5 separate regions of the Mus musculus genome follow, and regions 2, 3, 4 and 5 are each reported to be linked to region 1. The links are microRNA targets in miRTarBase. Many come from high-throughput screens and were not tested one by one. Region 1 holds a microRNA gene; each other region holds the end of a gene's coding sequence.
Evidence for each region. Region 1 holds the annotated microRNA mmu-miR-741-3p (UGAGAGAUGCCAUUCUAUGUAGA, at 2,743-2,765, shown strand). A microRNA usually pairs through its seed, bases 2 to 8, with sites in the 3' UTR of a target mRNA and lowers its output. Matches are read on the target gene's strand: a 7mer-m8 pairs with bases 2 to 8, a 7mer-A1 pairs with bases 2 to 7 and ends in A, and an 8mer does both.

Region 1 (5,108 bases):
TTCTAACTTATATAAGTGAAATTACAGTCCCCCGTATTGTCTTGGTAGAGAATACCATTAATTGAAACAGAAGACACATCAGAGGATATTCTCTTGGAGGAATTTTTGGTGACAATTTGTAGATTGTGTGTGTGTGTGTACATATATGTATATATATTATACACAAAGTATGTCAAGTTTTAGCAACAATGTACAATTGGTACTTTGCTAAAAGATAAAGAGGATCATGGAAGCTACATTTGCAACATTTTTATATTAAAGGTATGATGTACCCTGCTTTACCTAATTTGTTGTCCATCATGTAAAACATAAATGATGATAGACACCATATAAGGTAGAGGAAGGTTCACTATGTTCATCACCTGGAACATCATTGTGGTATAGAAGCATTAACCCTTGTTAGAGCTTGCTGGCCTTAATTTGGCATTTGTATCTAAAGGACCAAAGTTTAGTAAGGTGCATTTATTCTTTTTTTTCCCATTTTTTATTAGGTATTTAGCTCATTTACATTTCCAATGCTATACCAAAAGTCCCCCATACCCACCCATCCCCACTCCCCTACCCACCCACTCCCCCTTTTTGGCCCTGGCGTTCCCCTGTACTGGGGCATATAAAGTTTGCAAGTCCAATGGGCCTCTCTTTCCAGTGATGGCTGACTAGGCCATCTTTTGATACATATGCAGCTAGAGTCAAGAGCTCCGGGGTACTGGTTAGTTCATAATGTTGTTCCACCTATAGGGTTGCAGATCCCTTTAGCTCCTTGGGTACTTTCTCTAGCTCCTCCATTGGGAGCCCTGTGATCCATCCATTAGCTGACTGTGAGCATCCACTTCTGTGTTTGCTAGGCCCTGGCATAGTCTCACAAGAGACAGCTACATCTGGGTCCTTTCAATAAAATCTTGCTAGTGTATGCAATGGTGTCAGCGTTTGGATGCTGATTATGGGGTGGATCCCTGGATATGGCAGTCTCTACATGGTCCATCCTTTCATCTCAGCTCCAAACTTTGTCTCTGTAACTCCTTCCATGGGTGTTTTGTTCCCAATTCTAAGGAGGGGCATAGTGTCCACACTTCAGTCTTCATTCTTCTTGAGTTTCATGTGTCATTCTTCTTGAGTTTCATGTGGCATTTATTCTTTAATGTTAACCTTGCAGACACATCAAGATTTATAAACATTCAGATACAACAATCATTACATGTTTTTAAATTACAGATTTAGTTCAGTATATTTTTAAATTATAATTTAATTATAATATTTATACCTCTTATTTTTCCCTCCAAACACTTTCATATTTCCCTCCCTGCTCTCCCTCAAATTGATGATGTTTGTCAATAATTGTTACTGAATGTATTGATGTATTTTTATATAGCTATTTATTCCTAAATATATTCTGCTAAGTCTGTATAGTGTTACTTGTTTGTATGTTTTCAGGATGAATGTTTTGCACTAGACAACCAAATGGAATGTTCTTCCATGAGTGCTGGGAGTTAGGAGACATCTCCCAATACTGGCTTTTCTAGTTGTGTATAGTTCTTTGTGTAGGATTGAGGAATCATGAGCTTTTCCTGGTTTAATCTCAATTTTGACAGCCATTCGTGCAAATAACTGCTCATAATAACTAGATGGAAATATGTGGGAAAGAATACTATAGAATTATTTCATAAGGACATATAAATACAATTAAGGTTTATATTTTATGCTGTAGGGTGAATTGATAAATTTTGAGTGATAATTAAGAGTTTTAAGCGGGACTTCACATTTTTGGTTTATTTTTAACCTTAAGTTAATCTAGTTTTATAGTATTTATAAGTAGAATATAATTTTCCAATTAACAGAAATAAATGTGTGTTTACCTCTAAGTGGAAGAAAACTTTACTCATTTATTGTGGCTTCGTGAATATGAAAATGGTATTCCAAAACTTAAAGTTTTGGGGCTTCTGGGATTTTAGATGGCCATTTGATCTTGTAGGAAATATTATTCTTTTATATGATAATATTTTACTATCATTTGGTTCACAAATAATTTTGAGACTATATGAATGGAGGGTATTAAGTTAGGAAATAAATAAAATAAATAAATAAGTAAATAAAAATTAGGTAATTTATGTACGCATGTCTTTCCCACCATGGTGTTAGAATATGATATAGGAAAAAAAAAAGAATATGATATAGGCTAGGTTGCAAGATTGACAAGGTAAAAGTATGTTTTACTATCCTTAGTATTTAGAAATAATAAATATATGTTTCATGCATAGTTGTAATGGTAACTGTTTCTCTGATTTTTGCTTTTTCTTTAACTTTCATTTTGATGAGTTTTGTGTTATTGCTAGTTCATTTTTTTTAAATCAAGGGAAAGATGTTTGGGGTTGATGAGTGAGGTGGTAGGGCAGATCTGAGAATAGGTGAAAGCATGATCAGAATATATTGTAAGGGAAAAACATTTTTAGTAAGTAAAACGTGCTGGATGTATTAATTTGAATAAAAAAACTGAATATTAGCTGTAGTGAAAACTATTTATAGAAATGGTGACATAAGATGATACTATGTGAAAGAAAATCATGATATAGTAGAATTGGTAGGTATTCTCTAAGATTTACTACTAAATGAGGTAAGAATGCAAGAATTGTGGAGTTATGATTTCTAATTGAAGGTGACAGACTAGCTTTCTATCAGAAGTATATAAAATGTCTCATGTGCATTGATCTACGTAGATTGGTACCTATCATGTAAATCATGTAAGCATGAGAGATGCCATTCTATGTAGATTAAGGCTCATAACATTCTTCTTTTTTTGTGGCCTTGGAAGATCATTGCAGTGTTAAGTATAATGCTTCCCGATCTTTGTTAAGATCTTGTGCCTTCAGAAACTATATCCTCTAAGGAGGACTTAATTTAAACCTTCAGAACACATTTAGATATGTTAATACAAATATGGACATTGATAATTTTATTCTTAATCTGAAAAAATAAAATGAATATAGTCTTATATTTGTTTTATCAGACTTTCAGATAAGCAAGAGGGCATGGCATCCAGGCATAATAAGAAGATTCTTTATAAGCTTCTTGTTTGCTGCTTTATGCTGTGATGCTGATGGTGACTTGATTTAAATGAGAACAGTTTCATTCTACATGTACTGTAAGTTTCATCCTGTATGTCGCATATAATGATGTTTATGTTCATTTTAGATGCTCTTTAGTGAACTTTGAGGTTTGCTGCTACTCGAATTCTCACAATAGACATTAAGAATATTAGCATTTGTATTTTCTCTTTTGAAATTTTAAGTTTTTGAATTAAAATATAATTCTGACTCACTTTCCTTCCCACCCTCCACTCTCCCATATGGCCCCCTTTCTCTCTCTCTCTCTCTCTCTCTCTCTCTCTCTCTCTCTCTCTCTCTGTGTGTGTGTGTGTGTGTGTGTGTGTGTGTACACGTGTGCACATAAATATGTGAGTATGTATATAATATGGTAGACTACTTGGTATTAAATAACTAATTTGCTGGCTTATCCCTGTGAAAAGCTACTTTTTCCACTCAGCATTGCTTAAGTGTTTGCAGATTAGTTTTACATGCATGCATACATACATACATACATACATACATACATACATACATACATACATACTGCATACATTTATTTATTTGTCTAGGGGTTATGGCTCAAGAAACCAAATGAGTTTGATCACCTCTAGGTAGTAATGGTATAATGACTAACTATTGCTCTCAGCTTGACTGATTTTTTGGAATCAGCTAATAGATGAGCCACAGGCAACAGGGTCAGATTATTTCAAATGAGAAGAGCCACCCTAAATAACAGACAGTGCCTCCAATAGCATCCTACCTAGATAAAAGTGATAGAATAGAAAAAGTTGTTGGTTTTATTTTTTTTTTTTTTACTTTGTGAGATTATTATATAATTATATCCTGTTCTTCCCTACAAACTTTCCATATTCCTTCTTGCTCTTTCCAAATTTACAGTGTCCTTTTTCATTAATTGTTACAAACTATTCCCTCTGCTATATGTAACCCCTCTGGCTAAAGAGGTTATAGTTTGGTTATCATTATTCACTGGCTAATATCCACGTAGAAGTAAATGCTTACCATATGTTTCTATCTGGGTCTTTTTAAAACTCTCATAGGATGATTATTTTTCTAGCTCCATCTATTTCCCAGCAAGTCTCATGATGTCATTCTTAACAGGTAATACGTCATTGTTTAAATGTACCACAGGCTTTTTATTCAGTTTGAGGGACACTTAAAAAATTGGATTGTTTTCAATTTTTGGCTATTATGAATAGATCGGCAATGAGCAGGGTTAAGCATTTGTCCTTGTGGTAGGATGAAGATCCTTTAGGTATATGCCCAAAAGAAGTATAGCTGGATCTTAAGATATATCAGTTCCCAACTTTCTGAGGAACCACCATATTTTCTATTTTTGATGTACAAGTTTGCAGTCCCATTAGCAATGGAGGAGTGTTTCCTTTGCCCCACATCTTCTCTATCACGTTGTCACATGTTGATATTTAGCCATTTTGACAGGTGTAAAATGGAATATCAAAGTAGTTTTTATTTGAATTTTCCTGATGGCTAAAGATTTTGCACATTTATTTATTTTGGTGTTTCTCATTCATTTGAGTTTCTGTTATTGTGAATTTTCTGTTTAGACCTATACCCTATTTTTAATTGGATTTTTATATGTAATTTTAAATTCCTTATATATCTTGCATATTAGTCTTCTGTCAGATAATGCAGTTTGTAAAAATCTTTTCTTATTCTCTAGGCTGCCACTGGGGTGGAGAGATGACTCAGAGGTTAAGAATTTGGCATCACTTCAGAGTTATAAAAAATACATGGATTTTCAGGTATTGTGCTGTGATAGATGATAGATGATGTGATAGATGTCACAGAAATTGCTAAGTAATGAAAAATGTATACATTTAAGATACTGAAAATAAAAATTTAAATGTACAAGTTTATTTTTTCTCCTTGTTTCTGTGTCTCTGAGTTAATGTAAGCCTCCCCCACTGCAGTTTGTAGATACAACTTTTTGGTGATGTCATTGTAGGTACATTACCCCTAAACTCAGGTGCTTTGGTCCTAAGAGTGCTT
Region 2 (5,108 bases), not on the chromosome of region 1:
ACAACCAAAGTCACTCACAGCGGAGTCAAGCAACAGTTCACAAGGCAGAGACAGTAGACTAACTAGTCTGGGGACAACTAGTTTCTTTTCCTCTTCTTCTTCTTCTTTGTTTAACAACACTATGTGTGAGTTGCCAATTGAATGTTCTCTGTTCAACTGACTTTTGGATATAACTTGTTTCTGAGTATTGTGAAATTTATGTGAATTTCTTTGTGTTCAGAATGAGACATTTGATGTTCAAAAGCCCCAGGATTAGGGGACAGCTCAGTGTAAATGTAATGTGTAACAAGGTATTGAACAGTTTTCCAAAAGCATTCGGGTGGCCAATTATACATATTGATATATACATATTTGAAATTTCTTTTTGTTTCTGTTAACCATTGTGAAACACCAACAGTTACTGTAACAGTTACTGCCTGGGAGTGTGGCCAACCGCCCCTTGCCACTTTGATACTGGCCTGGGATTGGCTCCCTAAGTCACCTGTTGAGGAGCAGAAATACAAAGTCAACTTTAAGTTTTCTAATATTTTTCTTTGATAAAACTTAGGCGATTTGACGACCATTTGGCATTCCCAAGAGATAACAGGTGAAGGTGATCAGGCAGCTTGGACTCCCTCACCTGCAGGGACTCTTTAGAGAAACGGTGTTGCTTTCGGTCTCATGCCCTCCACCACGGTCCTGGCACACCACAGCCGAGCTTCTGGGATAACCACGAGGAGGCAGCATAGAACATCCCATCACCATGGCCGAGGTATGGCTGGTGGCAGGCTAACCCTAGACAATGCTGCTCTTCTTGTTATTATTAGGTACTGGAACATGTGCCTTTATCATTGGGACGGCCACCCATGCACTTCCAATCCCAGAGCTCAGAGCTGACCCTCTGCCCTCTGACTTAGACAACTATGTGGGTGATGAGGTTTTTGTTTTTTTGTTTGTTTGTTTGTTTTCATTTTTTTCATTTGTCACTAGTCTCCAAAGCATGGAACTGGCGGCGATGTCATTAGACATTTTCTATAAAATGCACCTTGTTATCTTTCTGTGACCGGCTCTTTCCCAGCACACAGAATAACCACGGCTCAAAGATTGAGAGGAGTAACCATTTTTAAATAGTTAATTGTTTCAGTGACTGTAAGTGTTAAGTCTGTTGTTGGCAATAAAGGCTACTGTGAAAAGAAGTGTCTCTTGTTTGCGTGACAGAGCTCACGTCTGTGTGTGGTGGCAGGGCGCCATCATGCATGCGTAGAAGTCACAGGACAACTTGTAGGGCTTCTCTCCTTCTGTCATGTGGGCCCTGGGAATCGAACTCAGGACATCAAGTGTCACCAAGGCAAGCAACATTGCCTTCTGAGCCACTCGCCAGCCCTGGGTCTTATAACGCATCGCAGAAGACAGGAGGGCAGATTGAAACCTTTCTCTAGAAAATTGGTCTTCTGTTTTTCCCTCAGGGGTGGGAAAAGGGATAACTTGTCAGAAACACTTGAAAAGATTCATGCCAATTTTGCGATCTGGAGCATAGACTGCCTTGGGCAGGTCAGAGGTGATAGACGGCGGGAAGGTGGAACTGGGGGTGGGGGTGAGGTGTCTTTTTCACTACAAGTTATAACATCTGTCGTCAACAAAGCATCACACCAAATATGGATCCTCCGTGTGTGGGATGCAGGTTAGTGGCTAAAACTTACCGACTATAAAACAGGGAGCCAGTTCTGCCGGCTGCTTACCCGCTTGCTCATCTGCAGACACTGGCAAATGAAACCTAGTCTTCTGGTTGGATGACATTTTTATTTTATAATTTCTTCCCTACAGAGGGGCTATTACCATTCTTCAAATCATAGGATCTGCTGGGAAATGGCTCCCCTGGGATGCCCTGTGCCTACGTAAATGCCACAGAGGGCAGTTTGTGCCTATAACCATGACAGGAGGAACACAGGTCCTGGGGGGAATTGTTGGTCAGTCAATCTAGCCAAAGCTGGCAGCTTCGGGTTCAGTGAGAAATGGTGTCTCAAAAAAACAAACAACAAAACAACAACAACAACAACAAAACAACAACAAAAAAACCAAGATGGAGAGCATAGAGAGAGAGAGAGAGATCCAACATTAACCTCTGGCCTCTCCTGCATGCACAATAGTGTACATGGGTGGGCACACACATACACACACTCACCACCGCTACCACCACCACCACCACCACCACCAGTAAAACAGCATCTACCCAGACCTGTATCAGTAGCATCCAGTACGCTAAAGCTTCAATCTAACATCATCTACAAGATGGCCCTGGGGGATAAAAGGGACTTAGTGATTGGGCATCAAATGTAGTTTATGCCTGTAATGCTGTGAGATCAGGTTCTAGGGAGAGAAGCAAGACCACCCCACTACACCCCCCGAGTGTCTATTCCAAAACAATAGAACATACCACACAGGCCTCCAGGATGGGTTTTTATACAGGCTTTTGGTTTTATTTATTATTAACAAACATAAACTGCAAGTAGCCAAGGTTGCTCACTACCTTGGGCGAGCCCCAGGGTCTCTGGTGTCACTGGTTTCCGACCTTTGACCTTCAGGGTGAGGGTTGGATGCACCCGATGTCTCAGTGCTGTCTCGGAGGCTAGCTAGGGAAAGGTGTGCACACTGGCATCACGGTCGACGGATCCACTGGGCATACATCAAGTGAGCGCAATTGGGTTTTAGTGTATTTTTATTTTCAGTTGCTTGGCAGTCTGTCATGCTACAAATGTCACCTCCTAGCTGGGGATGGTGGGCCTGGCCCTCCACAAGGGCTGTTGTGTGAAAGCAGACACAGGAGGAAATGGAGAAGCCAGAATCCTGTACAATGTGTGATTAATATCAGTGACCTAGACCCACGGCCTCAAAGCCTTGCAATCATGAAAGAGCGTGCCCACAAGCCCTGTTCTCTTTCCACCTCAACTCCCCTACACACTGCTCTGCTATTTATTTTTCCCTTAACCCAGCACTTGTATGCTTTCCTTTTCCAGAAATGCCATGGGTTTTGTCAACACGGTGACATTTTCTTGGTGACATAGAGAAGGGCAAGGCCAATGATGGAGCAGAACTTCTTGGCAGTGACCTATATACACCAGGAGTGACATGAGGGGAAGTCTTTAGTTAGTCAGACCAGGGTTACCTAAGGCCCAGAAAAATGTCCCTAAACAAGAGCAAATGCCATCAGGTAACCACCAAGAGGGAAAAAAAAATCAGTTTTAAAAAGGCCCATGAGTGTGTAAAGGCTGCTCTTCCAGGGTTCATAAGGCAACAGTCTCTGAGACTAATCAACTTATGGGGAGCCTTGACATGACGTTTCCTCAAATGAGAGTCTTTCCGAAGGCTGTTCTGGGAGCATGGATGCTGGCCACTCTCCAACGCACCCACCTTTCATCTGTGTGCCCTGTGGGCGGAATCCTTGGGGAGGGGATGTTCAGAGGTGTCTTCTACGCATTTTCTTTACAGGATGGACAAATGAACGCAGGTCCAAGCGGAGGAGAGTGGCTGGAGTGTCCATCATATGGGAATTGGAATGGTTCTCTCTAAAGAGCACACAAATAACTACATCACGCCTCCCAGCCTGGCGGAATCCTCTCACTGAATAGTCCTGGACAGGGTCCATAACTGAGGGAGTTGAGAAGCTTTGCTGACAGCTCCAGCTCCTTGCCAGCAAAGGGTGACAGCAAAGGGGACAAGCAGCCTCAAGCTTCTCTCTATAGACTTGAACTCAGGACCATACAGATGAAGGGCTGGCTTGTGAACGTCACTGCTGGAAACTCTCTACATGCAGCAGACAGACTGCAGTCCCCTAGAAAGATTGCCCACAGTGGAGAGCACCTTGCCTCTCCTTAGGAGTTCTTCCTTTAGTGGTGCCTGCATTCCGAGAGATCCCGGCTGGCTTTTCTGTGGCTTTCAGAAATGCCTCAATGATCGCATAATTTGGCTCTTAGGTGTACCTAAGCTTACGCAAGGGACCCAAGAGGGAGGAGGGGTGCAGGAATGTAAGGGTAAGACCCACACACCTGGGCTGCTCTTGGGTGAGGCTTTTGAGAATACAGAATACTTTAGTAACTTTTCACAGCTATGAGTTAGAACACCAGTGCAAGGGCACTGGGAAGGGGACATGACCTTATCACATGCTGAACCTGGGACAGCAGTGTGGGCAGGTTTGGACCAATGATGTGTGGAAGACTGACACTTTGTAATGGGTTCCACCTGGGAAAATCAATCGTATACATCCTGTACAACACAGCAACGAACACACACACACACACACACACACATGAGCACCCATTCTATGGAAAATAAATGTAGTGTGAACGCAGGGAGACATCATCCCAATGTGCATGTGCATAGCACATCACCACCTGCCTTCCCTGGACCAGGGGTAGCGGCATCCGAAGGCAGTGCACCGTGTCAGCAGCTTGGTACATTCAGAAGGATGGAGCCCGCAACAGATAAGTCACATCCAAGTCCAGGCTGAAATGCGTTGGTGACTCCTTGGGTCTCCTCCTCAGGAGATACCACACAGTCTGGCCACAGCAAGCAGACCTCCAGAGTTAAGATCTCTTAAGGCCCCACGTGGAAGTGATGCATGCAATAAATAGGTGTGGCTGCAGAGCTTGCCCTGTTGAGACCGTCACTTGCAGAGGACCCCGTTCTGAAACGACCTGTTTTTGTCAATGATGCAGGAAGAAGTAGCCACGCGGGGCAGGTCTTCCTTGACCTTCGGAGAGTGGCTGCTGTTGTTACTGGAGCTTGACTTACTTCTGCTTGGGTCGAGGGCAGGCTGCATGGGTGAGGCCTGGGTCCCCTTGCCCTTGACTAGACAGCCGCACACCAACCGGAAGAAGGCGCGCCTCATCTCTTTGCTGGCCAGCGTGTAGATGACAGGGTTCATGGCCGAGTTGAGGACAGCCAGCATGATGAACCACTGACTCTTGAAGAGGATGGAGCACTCCTTTGCCCTGCAGGCCACGTCGATGAGGAAGAGGATAAAAAGTGGGGACCAACAGGCAATGAACACACTCACCACAATCACTACGGTCCGCAGAAGGGCCATGGATCTCTCAGAGTTGTGGTTGGCCACCCTGCGGCTGCTGGACTTG
Region 3 (5,108 bases), not on the chromosome of region 1:
GGGACAACTAAATGGTCCCTCCCCAGTCCTTTCCTGCCAGCCTACTCAAGTCCTTCGTCACTACCCAGCTTCCTTCCCTCTTAGCTCAGGATTCTAATTAATTCACCAAGTGCCAATGACATTCATCTGTTTCTAGAATATGAAAGAATATGAAGGTTTCCAGGAGACCAGAATCTGCATGTTGCCAAAACATCAGGGCCTTGCCCCACACAGTGCCCAAGGACATAGGCTTCAAAACAAAACAAAAAAACTATGCTGCAAGCACCAGGCTCATGGATTCAACTTAGGATAAAAATTGCAATAAGCAATGTATTGCAATTCTTTTCATTTAGTACTGGACGAAAACAGACACCGTTCTGTTTTCTAGTGCATGTCTTCGGAACATCTTCCCACATTCCCTTCATCCTGACACGCCCCCTGATTTCCTCTTTACTTAAAACACATGGTCTACGCCCACATCACACTGTTCTTGTGGGGTGCCTGTGTGGAAAACATGTTTCCAATATGGCACACCCCTCTGTCAAAGATCAGATGAAACTTAGTATTGTCTAACTTACACCTATTGTTTCCATGTTTGCTGTGGCCATTTTAGACCATGGAAGGATGAGCATTATTGAAAGTGTATTTGGTAACTACCAAACGCTCATACACCTTCATGCCCCAACAGCACATGGAACACCAAAGGCCAGTGCGCAGACAGCATTGTCACCAACCCTACATGTGGTCTAGAACCCACAGGAGAGCGAAATGCCTTCTGTACCCACTTCCTGAGATGAATAGGTGACTCCCTAATGGTTCTGGTGGCCACATGTTTCTATATCCATGAAGACCATGTCCTTCTTCAACTCTACAAAAATCCCTTGCATTACCTACGGTGTACCTGACATCGATTTACTAAAGACAGGCTCCTTCACCCAGCATTTCTCCTTTACCTACCCTCCATTCTTCCCAAGTCACTTTTTCTAACCTCTCTCAGATCTCTTGGCATGCATCAGCGTTGACTTCATGGCCTCCAGCCAACCCTGTCTCTACCACGTTTGACTTGCCTCACCCCATATCTTCCCCAGAACCTCTCCTTGCCTCTTTTCACTGTGCCTTCTTTCTTATTTTCTACCCATCCTCTCCTTCCAGCCACACACACACATTCATGTAACAACTTAAAAAAAAAAAACACTACTCACATACTTGCATACAGCCCTCTTTTGTATTACAGTTTTGAGCGTTCACAGACAATCTTTCCACAGCTCCAACAATGCATGCTCTCCTCTGGGCACTCATTTCCACTCCAGGTCACATATGTGACATGGTTACACATTTATCTGGTCACCAGATCAAGATTTGAACATAGATCAATGACAGGACCCATGCCTAGCAAATGTGAGTTCTGGGTATGATCCCCAATAATAAAAACATAAATGGACCTGGTTAATGTATGCATTCATCAATAAAGGTATAAATTGAAATATGATAGTCTAAAGGACATCTTGACATAAATGGTTCACATATATCGTGATCACGAGTTACTTGGGGAAATAACAAGATCCCACAGTTTCTCATCTGTTTCTGCTTTCTTTTCCAAAACCTACCTTCATTTCCCTAGTTTAGATTTGAGCTACCTGTCTACAGAGTAAGTCTTTACCTTCTACCATGGTTGGCTACTCAGACCTGTACTGCTAAACTCTACTAGTGTAACTAGAAACTAAACCTGTGTCTGTAATACAAAGGTTTCAGTGCCAGAAGGTGGAACCTTCTTCATACCAAAAACAAAGTGCCTGTACATGAAGATACATATTTGATAGCCATCTGGGATAGATTAGTTCCATAAAGCAAAGTCCTGGAAATTTCATTTGTAAAGGAATACAGTGAACTGGGGGCAGAATCCTGAAGAGTATATAGTCAAGAGTTGTGAAAGAAACATGTCTGGCCCTAGAACTATCAAATGAGATAACGTGAAGCAGCACTGGTCACTCTAAAGCAGATATAATGCAGGTGTTGCTCTTACTTAAATGATGTCTCTCGGGATCACTATTACTGGCCACAATTGTCTGAGCAGTAACTGAACCTACATCAACCACAAATCTAGTTCTCCAGCAAGCACAAAACAAAGCAAAACTCCAAGAGATTCCTAAATCATAGATTCGGTTTTCCTTTGAGACAGATAAGAAAACAAATTCAGAGAGAAGCAAGACTTGGGAAAATGACATACTTGGCTTGAGGCAGCACAGGGCCAGAGTTCCCAATCCAATGTTCTCTCCTACCTCTGGGATCGAAGTTAGTCTTGCTGAGAATGGTAGAAAAGCCATGGGAGAGGAGGTAAATGTGCTGTGAGCGAATGGGATCTATGAAATTAATGTCAAGACTTAGAGTTATACATCTGCTGTGTCCTGTAGCCATGCTGAAGGCTGAACCAAGAAGCTCTCAGGTTTCTAAGAGACCATGGAGCAAGCTGACTGGATAGACAGAAGCAGATCACCACTATTTTACCTCAGCTTGGTTTCCTCTATAGGATTTAAGGGTTTTGTAGTGTAGATTGCTGCTGAATCTTAGAGTCTGTGAAGGATGAAAACTTAGGGTCACTAAGTTAGTCACTAAGGTGACTCCTGCTTGATCATGCATCAGTTCTCGTGAATCCCAAAGCCAGAAAAGAACTTCATGCTTTGCCGCTGGCCACCCTCTCTTTGGCAAAAGCACTTTCAGTAACACCAAATGGTCATCCTTTTATTATCCCATACATATATACCCAGTAGTCAACAACCTCTTCCCTGCAGAGTTCTTCAGCTAGTATCTGAAACTTTTCGGAGATGAGAGATTCCCCATCTCTGGGAAAACCCCCACCTGCATATGTTCTATTTCCATATTTTCCCAAAAGTGGAAATCAGTCTTCCTATAACTTTTTCCAGGGGTCTTGGCCAAACTTTTGGAAACACTCTAAACATATCTCTTGTATATTGGACATGACATTGGATACTTGTGCCTGAGAAGTTGAAGCCCTAGTCTATAAATCCCACAAAGGCATCACATAGTGAAAGATATAGAACTGGACAAGAGGAACTGATGGAGCAACCATTAAAATATCAAAACTTGAGGCTTTACAGAGTAAAGTCAAGTTGTCACTAGAACACACAGGTGAAGACCCTCACAGATGAACAACAAATAGTACACTTGCGAGTCATCCTCCGAGGACCTTCTTTCCTATGACCATGGTCTACCGGGAAGCTTGTGCAATCTTTCCCTTTCTGTGTCCTACTTCAAGCCTTACAACAGACATTTCTTTCTATCCATATGCCCTGTTTCATGGGTAGGCTCTGATCTCTGGCCATGATTGAAGAAAACATTCATTCCAAGACACAAGATAGAGGTTTTTAAGTACATGCCACTCACTTTGACGAGAGAGAGAGAGAGAGAGAGAGAGAGAGAGAGAGAGAGAGAGAGAGAGAGAGAGAGAGAGAGAGAGAGGAGAGAGACAGAGACAGAGACAGAGACAGAGAGATCTGAGAGTCACGTCCAAATCAGAAAATCATCCATTTGTTGTGGAATGCCAAGTCCTGCAATTCTTCATTACCTCTAAGTATTTTCCTTAAGCCTAATCTCATGTTTCTCAAGACATTCATATTCTTCAAGTTTTTCTTTCTAAAGGTATTTTACAGAAAGTGACACGGAAAAATATTGTAGGATCTGCACACTTATAAACAGAAGCATAACCTTTATAAATTATCTGAGTTTCTAGTCTTCATTATCTAACCATTTGGTATATCAAGTAACATTTCTTTTACTAATATCTGCTCTATATTTTTTTTTCTTCTTTTAGTTATTTCATGTAAAAAAGTATATATGAGTCAATAGTAGGGAGCAGGGAGGTGTAGTGGAGGAGGCAAGGGACAGAGAGGGCAGAGTGACTAATTCTCTGTCTCTCGGGTCCATTGAATGTCCAGCTGGAGTGGCTTAGATGTGGGTGAGCAGTAGGTCTTGTGGGAAGGATCTGGGCCACAGGAACACTGCCAGGTGCTGATGCATCATCACTCGGCTCCTTGCTGAAGAAGCAGGAGGTGTATTTCCTGGAAGGATGGCCGGTGCTTGGTTTCTCTTCTCCAGCAGCTGAGCATCAGCTTATACACAGAGTCGGGGCAAAGGGCTGGTTGAGGGAGATAGATCTATGGGAACAAACATTTTAAAAGAGAGAAAAATATATATTAAGGGGCAGGAAGAGAATGGACTGTAACATAGCTCTATGTGTACCCTCGCCACTTTACTGAACTTAGCAAAAGACACGGGTGTTGTGTCTATTCTCCCATCACACAAAGCTCATCAACCCCTTTCTTATTACCTTCTTCTATTCTAGTCCTCTCAAGCAGTATTTCACGAGGACCCTGCCTTCCTACTAAAGGTTCCACCAATGCCAAAAGAACTCAGATCTGCCGTCAATGAGGGTGAATCTTGTCTGAGCCAATATGACAGAAATAAAGCACACTTGTAGCTTCTGCTAAAGAATTTGAGGTTTTATTGCAATTTTATTGGAATAATATTCAGCCAGATGTATAAATTGGGAGGAAGGCTGTATCCTAGCAATACTCACCATTGTTCTCCATGTTCCCCTCTCTGTATTGTTCTCATTTAGAAGAGATTGGATTGCATTAACAGGTATAATTATGATGCCATAATTCCAGCCTAGGATGCTACTCTGAAGTTTCCAGTTACCATTTCCACAAGCAAGATGCTATTTTACTAACTGCCAGTCCATCTCCCGCATTCTATATTTTTACTATCATCTCCTTACCTATACATTTTAATACCCTGCTATATTGACAGATTACTAAACTGTACTTAAACTTTCCATGATCACTCAACCATAAAAGCATCATTACCTTTGCTGAACCCGATATTTGTACCTAGTTAATCATTAGCTACTTCCCATTGCCTTGCCTTACCTCATACAACACCATCCTGGATCATGTATCATAGGAGCTGGGCTTTACCCAGAGTCTAATAATAACACATGCCCATCAACTTCTAATTGCCAGTAAAAAGGCCAATAAGCAAAAATATTTGGCTTCTGCTAAAATAGCAAGTTAGCTGGACTATCAAATCAGATACAACAAAGTTTAAGTCAG
Region 4 (5,108 bases), not on the chromosome of region 1:
AGGGTAAAACACAGACATTCTGTTGTCTATGTTATTCCTTGGCTTTAAGTTATTCAATCTGTGCAGTTGCATACCAGTATTGTTTCTCTTATAAATTTTGATTCCATATATGTATGTATTGTGTGTGTGTGTGCGTATGTGTGTGTGTGTGCATGCACATGTGTGCCTTATGGTGCAAATGTGGAAGTAGAAGGTAACTTTAAAGCAGTTGGTTCTCCCCTTCCACCGTATGGTCCTCATGCCAGCTCCCAGGATGGGCTTTCATCTCTCTTTCTGCATCTTAGACTTGATTCCTCATAAAATCTCACTTCTACTCAAAGAGCAATAGTGAAGTTTGCTTTCGGTGAGGTGTTCCATTTCATTTGATCTTCTTTACATATATTTTCAATGGGCATAAAGTTCTAAACTGAAAAGGATTTTTTCCCCCACATCACAGATGTCGCATGCTGTCTCTGGGCTTTTAGGTGACATGTTTCATCTATAATACTTTTAAATATTCTCCTTATTCTTTTTTCCTCTTATTGAAAATAAATTTTTCTTACATAATATATTGATTAGTTTCCCTTCCCTTTATACTCCTCCCAGTTTCTCCTGATCTTCCCATCCAGATCCACCTCCTTTCTATTTTTCATTATAAAGCAAACAGGTCTCTAAAGAATTGTAATATATGATATGATATAACAAAAACTAATATTGGGATAGGATGAAACAAGCAAACAAAAAGAAGAGACCCCAAGAGAAGGCACAAGAAACAAACAGTCAGAAAGCCACTTATCCACACACTCAGGAATCCCACAAAACCACGACACTGACAGTCATCATACATATATGACTTTATTATATGCATATAACATATTGTTCAAGCATGAGGACCTGAGCTTAGATCTGTACTCGCCAATAAAATTCAGGCATGGCAGTGAAGTCTGTAATCCCAGTGATGCGGGTGGAGGATTGGCAGAATCAGGCAGATCTCTAGGCTAGGCCAGCCAGGCTACCCAAAACAGCAAGTTCCAGCTGCAGTGAGAAATTCTGTGTGTGTGTGTGTGTGTGTGTGTGTGTGTGTGAAAGCAGAGAGGAGGGCATCTGACAGTGATCTCTGTACTCCACATGAGCATACATAGGTAGATGCATTGCACACACATACATAGAGATGAACAGTAAGAAAATGATAAATAAATAAATAAATAAATAAATATGTTCAAGAACAATGTAAGATATCCACATGCAAAAGGATGGGTTAGACATTGTCTCAGTTAGGGTTTTACTTTTGTGAACAGATACCATGACCAAGGCAACTCTTACAAGGACAACATTTAATTATGGCTTGCTTACAGGTTCCGAGTTCCAGTCCATTATCATCAAGGTGGGAACATGGCTGCATCCAGGCAGGCATGGTGCAGGAGGACCGAAGAATTCTACATCTTCATCTGAAGACTGCCAGAATATTGGCTTCCAGATGAAGCTCTTAAAGCTCATGCCCACAGTGACACATCTACTCCAACAAGGCCACACCTCCAAATAGTGCCACTCCCTGGGCCAAGCATAGATAAACCATCACAGACATTTATTACAAATTACATTCAAGAAAAGGAACACAGTTGAATTATACATTTAAGTGCAAACCATGAAAACACAAAACATCAAAAACAAATCTCACGACCTCTAGTAAATGGTTCATGTGACATAAAATGAAAAGCATACGCATCAATAGAAAAACAAATAACAAACTGGACTTGACCAAACTTCTGTGCCCCCAAAGGATATCCTCAAAGGTGGAAAAAGACAGCTCACAGATGAGAGAAAACACGCTCAAATCTTCCGTCTGATCAGGCACTTCCATGAAGAATACAAACCTCCTAGGAGTGGATGGTACTTGTGTTATCTGTTTAACAGACACTCGTCCACTGATGTCACACGAAGAGCTAGTCAGCACATAATAGGGTGCTTGGTCTAGACCCTGCTAAGAGGAACATGGAACCACGACCAGGTCCTACTTTACACTACAGGCTTGCCTAGAAGGAACCTTTGCAGTTTCAACCACACACATCATCTCTCTGGTCCTATCATACGGCAACCTTGCTCTCTCTCCATGGGCTGTGACTGCTTTCCCTCTTCTGAGATGCTTTTCTGCATATATTTATGGTGGTTTTTTTCCTTGTCATTCAGACTTCAGGGCAAGTCTTCCCAAAAGCTTCCTCTGGACTATCCCATGTGAAGCAGCTCCTAGCAACGGCATCGCCTATTTATTACCTTCACCTCACTCCATCGTTTAATTCAACCCCTGGGCATATGTGAATGGTTCTTTTATGTGGACACCTTTGGGAATCCAGAAATGACTAACCACACGAGTCCTGCTCTCCTATAGCCTCTAAGCTAGAGTAAGGCGTTCAAAGGAAGTACTTGGTAGGCTTTAAATTAATGGAGGAAAGATGGACCAATGGAACGAGAAGCATCAGGAGAAGGAAGGGGCCGTTTCCTAGTGTCTGCTTGCAGACACTGCCGAGCCAGCTAGAGAGCTGAATGCGAGAGGGCATGGCTAGGAAACAGAGGTGGGCTTGTCAAGAGAAGCGGAGAGTCAAGGCTTGGAGCATAACTGTGGCGAACAAAAAAAAAGGAACGAGAAAGGCGCTGAGTAAGTGGTTATTGCAGGTGGACTTGAGTTTGATGTGTCAGTGGAGCAGCCAATCGGAACTGTCGATGGAAACTGGGGCTGTTCAAGCGGCACGTACTCAGGAGCCTGTCACAGAAAGGTGCAAGACGTGCTTAGAAGAGAAAATCAGGTGGACAAAGGTCTAAGAGACAAAATACTAGCCAAGTTTTATGGTGTTCAACAAAACATGTTTTTTTTTTTTTTTTTTTTTTTTTTTTTTTTTTTTAAGATTCACTGTTTTATGTATATGAGTGCTCTATCGGCATGTATGCCCGCATGCCAGAAGAGGCCATCAGATTCCAGTATATATTGTTGTGAGATGCCATGTGTTTGCTGGGAATTGAAGTCAGGACCTCTGGAAGAGCAGTCAGTGCTCCTAACCACTGAGCCTTCTCCCCAGCCCCACACATCCTGATGATGTAATAGAACATCCCTTTCTGACACCTTCCCTTGCATGCTGGGTGGACAAAGTACATGCCAAGCGTCACCAGCATTCCCAGGTGTAGAGCTAGCCCATCACTCGGGTGTCCTACCACCACTGCCTCCAGGACCGTCCTGCAGCATCTTTTTAAACGCTGCCCTCAACATCTGTCCTTTATTTTTACTGTTTTTTGGAAGGCAAACAGGCTAGCAGCATTGCTACAGTGAGGACTGTTTGGAGAGCACTCTTCCCGTTGTTCCCTCGATGTTGCAGGCGTCTGTGCTCTGGCGACATCCACCACAGCGTCTCCATGTTAAGTGGCACTAGTTTCCTTAAGCTCCGGGATGCTGAGCAATGTTTTGTCATCATGTTCTTCCCTCATCAAAAATAAAAGAACAGCTCCTATTAAGACTACAACTGTTAAGCTGTGTAGACATGAAAACAGAGGCCGTGTTTCTTTTCTTATTTGGTAAATATTTAGCTTTTGAGGCATCAGTAACTAATCACAGCTGCTTCCTTTAGCTACAAATGGATTCAATCAGGTAGAATTTGAGATGAAACTCAGAAGCCACCAGTCATTCCATTATGCTGCAGTGACAGCGGCAGGACTCGTGGAATGTACGTTAAATATGCATGTATTCATCAAATCAGACAAAGAAGCTAATGGGTCTCTGATTAGTGTTCTCACTCTATTATGGTGATGCATCCATCCTTCCACCACACCCTGCCACAGCTACAGCAGGCGGAAGCAGCCAGGGAGACTAATAGTCTGTCATGCCGTCGCTCTGTCTGAGGAATGCACACTGGCTTTCTGGCTAGAATTTCTCTCTTGAAAAACTGAAGGTGAAAAAGAACTGTGATGCTGGAAGACTCTTTAATATTAATAATTTCTAATTCTTTGTATCAAAACTAAAGAGAGCCCCTTTTATCTCTATTAAGGCTTTTACTTTATTATTTTTGGGACCAATATTGTTTTTAAAGGTACTCTAGAGTGAAAGTAACAATGATCAGTTCAACAAAGACAAACAGCTGATATAATTTTATTCAGTACTAAGAATTACAGATTTTGTGACAACATATAAATAAATTTCTATTACAAAAAATTGATACTCTGAATTAAGAGCATATAACAAAATATTTTTTGATTCACAAGCTGAAAGGCATGTGCTTTGTTTAGGGGTCAATTTTGATTCATAATTTACATTTATAGTGATGACTGCTATAATCAGGTATAGAGGCATTTAGTCATTTCTAAGTTCCATCTGTAAAATATGCTCTTAGGCACAGTACTCTGGATGCTGGAGCACGGTTATTAGTGTGAAGCCAACCTGGGCTACATAGAATCTGCTTCAAATACAGACAGACACACAGGCACAGAGAGATAGATAGACCACACACACACACACACACACACACACACACACACACACACACACACACACACACATTTCTAGAGAGTGTAATTAATCAACCTGTACGCCTTGATAGATTGATTGTAGGCAAGCTACCAAGGTCAGAGTGGTGTCTATAACACAGCTTTGCCTCCACAGTTGCCCAGCTTCAATCGCTAAAGGCTGAGTTTGGAAAGTAACCTTGAGGTGGTAATTAACAATTGTACCAATTAGTATCAAAAATTAACAACTTTGGGTACTTTGGTTTTAGGTTTCTGCAGTTTGGGCACATCCAGCACGTCTTCATAGTCTGCACTCATACCCTTTGCCCAGCGACCAACCGTGATGATCCGATCTGCAGAGGGATTTAAAAAAAAAAATCAAGATATAAAAACAACAGTAATCAAATGCTTCCACTGAGAGTGGTATTGGTTTAGTAAAGGAACTAGTTTTGACATGAATAATCACAAGGAGAGATGACTCCATCACTGCAGGAAAGTGAGCAATTCTGTAATTGATTAGAACCCTTGATTTCCGAGTACCACAGGCAATTTCTCATCCCAATTAGGGAAATGCAGACGCTACTTTGCAATGCACGGATTGATGAGAGCTCCCTCACTTCTTCCCCGAGTTCATCACTGAGGAC
Region 5 (5,108 bases), not on the chromosome of region 1:
ACCTCCAATTCCTGGGCCACCCGATTCTCAATGACCCCATCTACAATTCAACTGCCTGGGGTCCTTCTCGAGGCCAGGGTGGCCACATTCCAAAGACAGACGAGGAACTGCTCCGAGACCTGGTTGCAGAACATCAGGCCAAAGAAAGCCTGAGTATGCTAGATCTCTGTGAGAGTGACCTGACGCCAGGGCTCATAGACTCGACAGCTCCCTCTTCAGAGTTGGCTAAAGACAGCCTGGAAGGGTTGGCTACAGCAGCCCAGAAGATAGATGGAATAGCTGAGGCAGCCCCTCAGCATCTGGACACACCAGAGAAGGCAGCTAAAGCAGATGTGACTCAAGAAACAGACCCGCTCTGTGCCGAGTGCCGAGTGTTGCGACAGGATCCCTTGCCCCAGGATCTCGTAATGTTCCTGCATGCCCTCCGCTATAAAGGGCCAGACTTTGAGTACGTCTCACCCATCCCAGCCTGGGCACGGGATGACTGGCAAGAAGACTGAGGAATGTGACCATTGGAAAAATGGCTTCTTGGATTGGAGCAAGGATGGGCCTTGAGACAGGGACTGCTCCCATTGGTTGATACTCAGGTTTGGAGAAGAGCAAGGTTTCACAGTAAGGAACCTTGCTTGTACCTGCTGCTACCTCCTTCCTTCTGGCTTGTTGGGGCTTTCAGATCTGTACATAGATCATTTTTTTCTAACACCTTGTATGTCCATTTTTACTGGTTTCTTACGATCCCTTCCCTCTTCCCCCCAGTGCTTAGGATAGAATCTAGATCCATTAGAAGGCAAGTGCTCTACAACTGACCTCCAAGCCCCTTAGTATTTCTGAGTTTCTCTAGCTCAGGCAGATCTTGAACCCTGAATCCTCCTACATTGCCTCCAGAGCGGGAATACAGGTATGAAACACCATGCCTTGCTTTTTTTTTTTTTTTTTTTTTTTAATTGAGATAAAATTCACATAGCATAAAATTAACCGCTTTAAGATAAACACTGTTGGCATTTACTATATTCACAAACTAGAGCAACCTTATCTCAAGATTTCAAAACATATTTCTCATTCCTACAGGAAACTGTACAGCACATTCTTCCCTTTTTCTCTCTCTCAACTCCTGGTAAACAGTTTATTCTTTATTCCACAGGCATGGACTCAGACAATCTGTGTCTTTTTCTTTTTTCTTTTGTTCTTTGTTGTTGTATGTTTGTTTTCTGAGACATGGTTTTGGTATAGCCCTGGCTGTCCTGGATCTTGCTCTGTAGACCAAGCTGGTCTTGAACTCACAAAGATCCACCTGCATCTGCCTTCTGAGTGCTGGGATTCAAGGAGTGTGCCACGCCCCCCAAGCTACCCAACACTTATTCTTTTCTGTTTGTTCTACTGATCATCTCTCTCCTAGTGCATGTGATATAATTTCTCACAGTGGAATATACTCTTTTTGTTGTGTTGTTTATTATTTATTCTGGACATAAAATCTTAACAAAAGAATTAACAGCCCAATTACAAAATATCCAAAAATGATTCTGGTTCTCTCTCTCTCTCTCTCTCTCTCTCTCTCTCTCTCTCTCTTTCTCTCTCTCTCACACACACACACACATACACACACACACACACACACACACACACACACGGTCTGGTTAAGAGCACTCATTGCTCTTTGAGTGGCTCACAACCACCTGACACCCCAGCATTAGGGGACCCTTCCCCTCTTCTGGCCTCTGCCAGGGCTACATAGTGAGACTCATGTCTCAAAATAACAAAGACGGAAGCAGTGCAGTTAACAAAACTAACATGTTTTAGAATGGCAGATTTCCTGGAGTCAGGACTGTTACCACCAGAGCACTGACTCTGTTATGATGCCTTGCCTTCCACAGGTAAGCACTGTGCGTGATCACGGCTGTCTTTCCACTCCAAATGAGCTCTTCTCTCATGTGAAGCGCATTCTTATTTTCAAAACCACATTTTATCAGCCATTAGCCACATCAAAATAATTGGAAAATGTCTGTCTATTGCTAAAGCTGCCTCTGTGTGTATGTGGGGCGGGGGGGGGGGGTGGAGTGGGAGAGGGGAGTGTACTGAGACCCTGTGTCAAACAAAGAAAATAACACACACAGACATTTTTGTAAGCCTTGAATCTGGGGTAACTCCTCTCCTCCTCCATCTTTCCTGCTCTCTCTCTCTGTTTTTCTTGAGAGGGTCTTGTTATGTAGCCAGGATAGCCTCAGAATCACTAAGTATCCCAGCTGGCCTCACACTCAGTTTCTACTTTCTTAAGCTTTCCAATTGCTTGAGTTATAGACAGCCATGTACAAGCTTGCCTTGAAGTTTTTGTTTTTGTTTTTAAATCCCAAATGGTAGAATTAAACACATGCACTGCCACTCAGGATTTTGAAGATTTCTTGTGTATAATAAAACATAGACTATAAGCAAACAAACATACAACCATCCATTGCAATTCTTTCAGCGCTACGTCTTAAAAGAGTTGTTGATGTATAACCATCCAGGACTGTGGCGCATCACCAGCTGACAATTCTTCCCTGATAAGTTCATAATCAACAGAGGGAATGAGTCTTCCTGAAGCTGAATCTAGAGGATTAAGACCCATTTTTTAGCACTTAAGCAGTAAATGCTGTTAGTCTTAATTAGGTATTTTTGTATCAATCTTTTCTCATGGTCTTCCAGGGACTCGGGGTTGGAATATCCTGTAATAGTTCAGGATAGTGTGAAGTAACCTTGCTGTTGATTTGAGTGCTTTGAGCAGGATTTAAAGGGTAAAAACATGAAACCTCCTTCTCACCCAAAGCTGGAAGTAGCCACTGATCCAGTAGATGGCGCCTCTCACTCTTTTATCAGTCTCTTCCCTTTCTGTTACTAATTCAAGTAATTTCCCCCTCCCGTTCTTTAAAATAAAGTGGTATTGTTGATTATTTTCACTCCCTTAGAAAATGGGAGCCAAGTACTGGTAGTTATGAATCAGGAAATCATCAGGAGAGAAAACCCTGGTATTCTCATAACAAGCCTCACGGTAATTTCATGTGAGAGTAAGAACTAAACACCCTGACTTACAAAGGCATGGCAGCAAGAGGTTCAGGAGTGAGCCTCTTGAAACTGGATACCTGCATCACACCTGCCAGGCTCAGAACATATGGGAGAAGACTGGGAAAGAAGGGAAGAGCCAGAGGATAAGGAGGGGTGCCTTAAAAAGTCTGTGGGGAGTGGCTGGGTTGTTGCACCCGTGCAGCAGTAGTTACCTCTGCAAGCCAGGCGCAATTCTGAGTCCACTGTCATTTAAACATGGGTGAGGGAGGGGCTACTGGCAGTTAATGGTTGCTGGGAGATTGGATGCCATTTTCTTCAGTGATCTAACTAATGAAAAGTTGCACAGCTTCTGCTGTGCAAACTGAGACTGAATCAGAGATGGATATCCATTGGATAAAGTTTTAACCAGTTTTTCTTCAACATGAAACATAGAACGACAGTCATTCAGACAAAACAAAAACACACAAACTGACACATGGTCAGACTGGTGCACCAAGGACAGACAATGCAGAGAAGGAAGGAACTTGATGTAACCAGAACTAAGGATGCCTACTGTAGGGGCCAGAGAGGAAGCAAGAAGTCTCCCGATTTCCTTCTGTCCCTGGGAGAGCTCTGAAATCCATTTTCCTTCACTTGATCTCTCTCATGTCATTTGTATATCTAGCATCTCCCTTTTGTTGTTTTTGTTTTTTATTCTTTTTATTTTATCTTATTTATTTTATTTTAAGCCCTACTCCTTTCATCGGATACAGTTCTTGACTACAGACAAATGTTTGTTTAGAATTTTCCAGCCCCATTTTCCACTGTCAACCTCTAGCTGATATCAGCATTGGGCTGACGCTGACTCAGTTTAACCTGTATCCTTTTTGCACCATTAAAATCAACAGCCTTCAAAAGATGAAATTTATAGCATAAACATTAATGCTGTATGTTGCTTACCGTGTAGGATACCATCTTCTTCATTTTCTGTGGAGCTTCACCAAGAATGTCCCTCAGTCGGTCTTTCCATAATCAGATCCCTCATTTGGGTGCCACCTGTAGCCGCCAGCGGCCATGGGTTACTGAGTTCCTGAAAGGAAAGCTGGGGATGGATGGGAAGAGCGATGAGAGAAATAACGAGCCAAGACAAAGTTCTCTGATCAAGGCTCAATGTTTAATTCTAAGATCTGAAATTTACAGGGGGGCAAAAGCCATTCCTCACTTTGCCAGGACCTTGTCAGGAAGACAAGCTCAGCTGCTCAACACGTAGTGACTTCGTGCAGGAAGCTGCAGATGGTAGGACAATACACTTCACCTAGGTTGGAAGACTCTACCTGAGGTGGGCTAGCCGATTGTTGCAAAAAAGGTCTGAACTAGCCCACTCAAGGCTGGGGGAAGGGCACAATTTCTACACATAGAATAAAAATAAATAATGAATTAAGAATAACTAACAAGGGGGCTGGAGAGATGGCTCAGCGATTAAGAGCACTGACTGCTCTTCTGAAGGTCCTGAGTTCAAATCCCAGCAACCACATGATGGCTCATAACTATCAGTAATGAGAACTGACACCCTTTTCTGATCTATCTGAAGATAGCTACAGTTACTTATTTATGATAATAAATACATTTAAAAGAAAAAAAGAATAACAGGGCTGGAAAGATGGCTCAGCGGTTAAGAGCACTGACTGCACTTCCAGAGGTCCTGGGTTCAATTTCCAGCAACCACATGGTGACTCACAACCATCTGTAATGGGATCTGATGCCCACTTCTGGTGTGTCTGACAGCTACAGTGTATTCATATAAATAAATGAAAAAAAAAAAAAGAAGAAAAAGAACTAACAATACAATACCTACCTGCTTTTTTTCATTGTGGTTGATGAGACTCTCCACTATATAGCCCGGGCTTGTATTCCTCCTATTTCAACATCCTTAAATGCTTAGGTTACAAGTGTGTAGCTGCCCCTCCTCCAGCTTCAACTATCTTTTATTTGTAGAAACTAGACCCAAAACAAGCCATCAAATCCTAGAAGCTGGTAAAACTCAGGAGATGGGCCGGGCGTGGTGGCGCACACCTTTAATCCCAGTACTCGGG

Region 2: the mRNA of S1pr3 is a reported target of mmu-miR-741-3p. Seed matches in the 3' UTR shown: 7mer-m8 at 3,883-3,889 and 7mer-m8 at 2,082-2,088.
Region 3: the mRNA of Ddr2 is a reported target of mmu-miR-741-3p. Seed matches in the 3' UTR shown: 7mer-m8 at 3,485-3,491 and 8mer at 2,803-2,810.
Region 4: miRTarBase lists Zcchc9 as a target of mmu-miR-741-3p. Seed matches in the 3' UTR shown: 7mer-m8 at 4,448-4,454.
Region 5: miRTarBase lists Rpusd2 as a target of mmu-miR-741-3p. Seed matches in the 3' UTR shown: 7mer-A1 at 1,101-1,107, 7mer-m8 at 1,384-1,390, 7mer-A1 at 1,574-1,580, 7mer-A1 at 1,921-1,927, 7mer-m8 at 3,673-3,679 and 7mer-A1 at 3,676-3,682.

The regions. Positions count from the first base shown.
Region 1 is chrX:66,794,466-66,799,573 of GRCm38, reverse strand. Mir741 (microRNA 741) reads left to right here and starts at 2,699; the gene lies at 2,699-2,769. Mir463 (microRNA 463) reads left to right here and starts at 277; the gene lies at 277-351.
Region 2 is chr13:51,419,453-51,424,560 of GRCm38, reverse strand. It overlaps S1pr3 (sphingosine-1-phosphate receptor 3), which reads right to left. Exons shown (of 2, transcript NM_010101.4): 2 at 1,764-5,108. The coding sequence ends at 4,640. Shc3 (src homology 2 domain-containing transforming protein C3) reads left to right here. Exons shown (of 12, transcript NM_009167.5): 12 at 1-1,172. Among named protein-coding and RNA genes, the nearest start is that of Gm32834, 3.3 kb to the right of the region's middle.
Region 3 is chr1:169,973,839-169,978,946 of GRCm38, forward strand. Ddr2 (discoidin domain receptor family, member 2) reads right to left here. Exons shown (of 17, transcript NM_022563.2): 17 at 1-4,151. The coding sequence ends at 4,017. Among named protein-coding and RNA genes, the nearest start is that of 3110045C21Rik, 7.0 kb to the left of the region's middle.
Region 4 is chr13:91,792,438-91,797,545 of GRCm38, forward strand. It overlaps Zcchc9 (zinc finger, CCHC domain containing 9), which reads right to left. Exons shown (of 6, transcript NM_145453.2): 6 at 4,096-4,817. The coding sequence ends at 4,699. Among named protein-coding and RNA genes, the nearest start is that of Zcchc9, 13 kb to the right of the region's middle.
Region 5 is chr2:119,038,260-119,043,367 of GRCm38, forward strand. Rpusd2 (RNA pseudouridylate synthase domain containing 2) reads left to right here. Exons shown (of 3, transcript NM_173450.3): 3 at 1-3,939. The coding sequence ends at 500. Among named protein-coding and RNA genes, the nearest start is that of n-TSgct7, 6.0 kb to the right of the region's middle.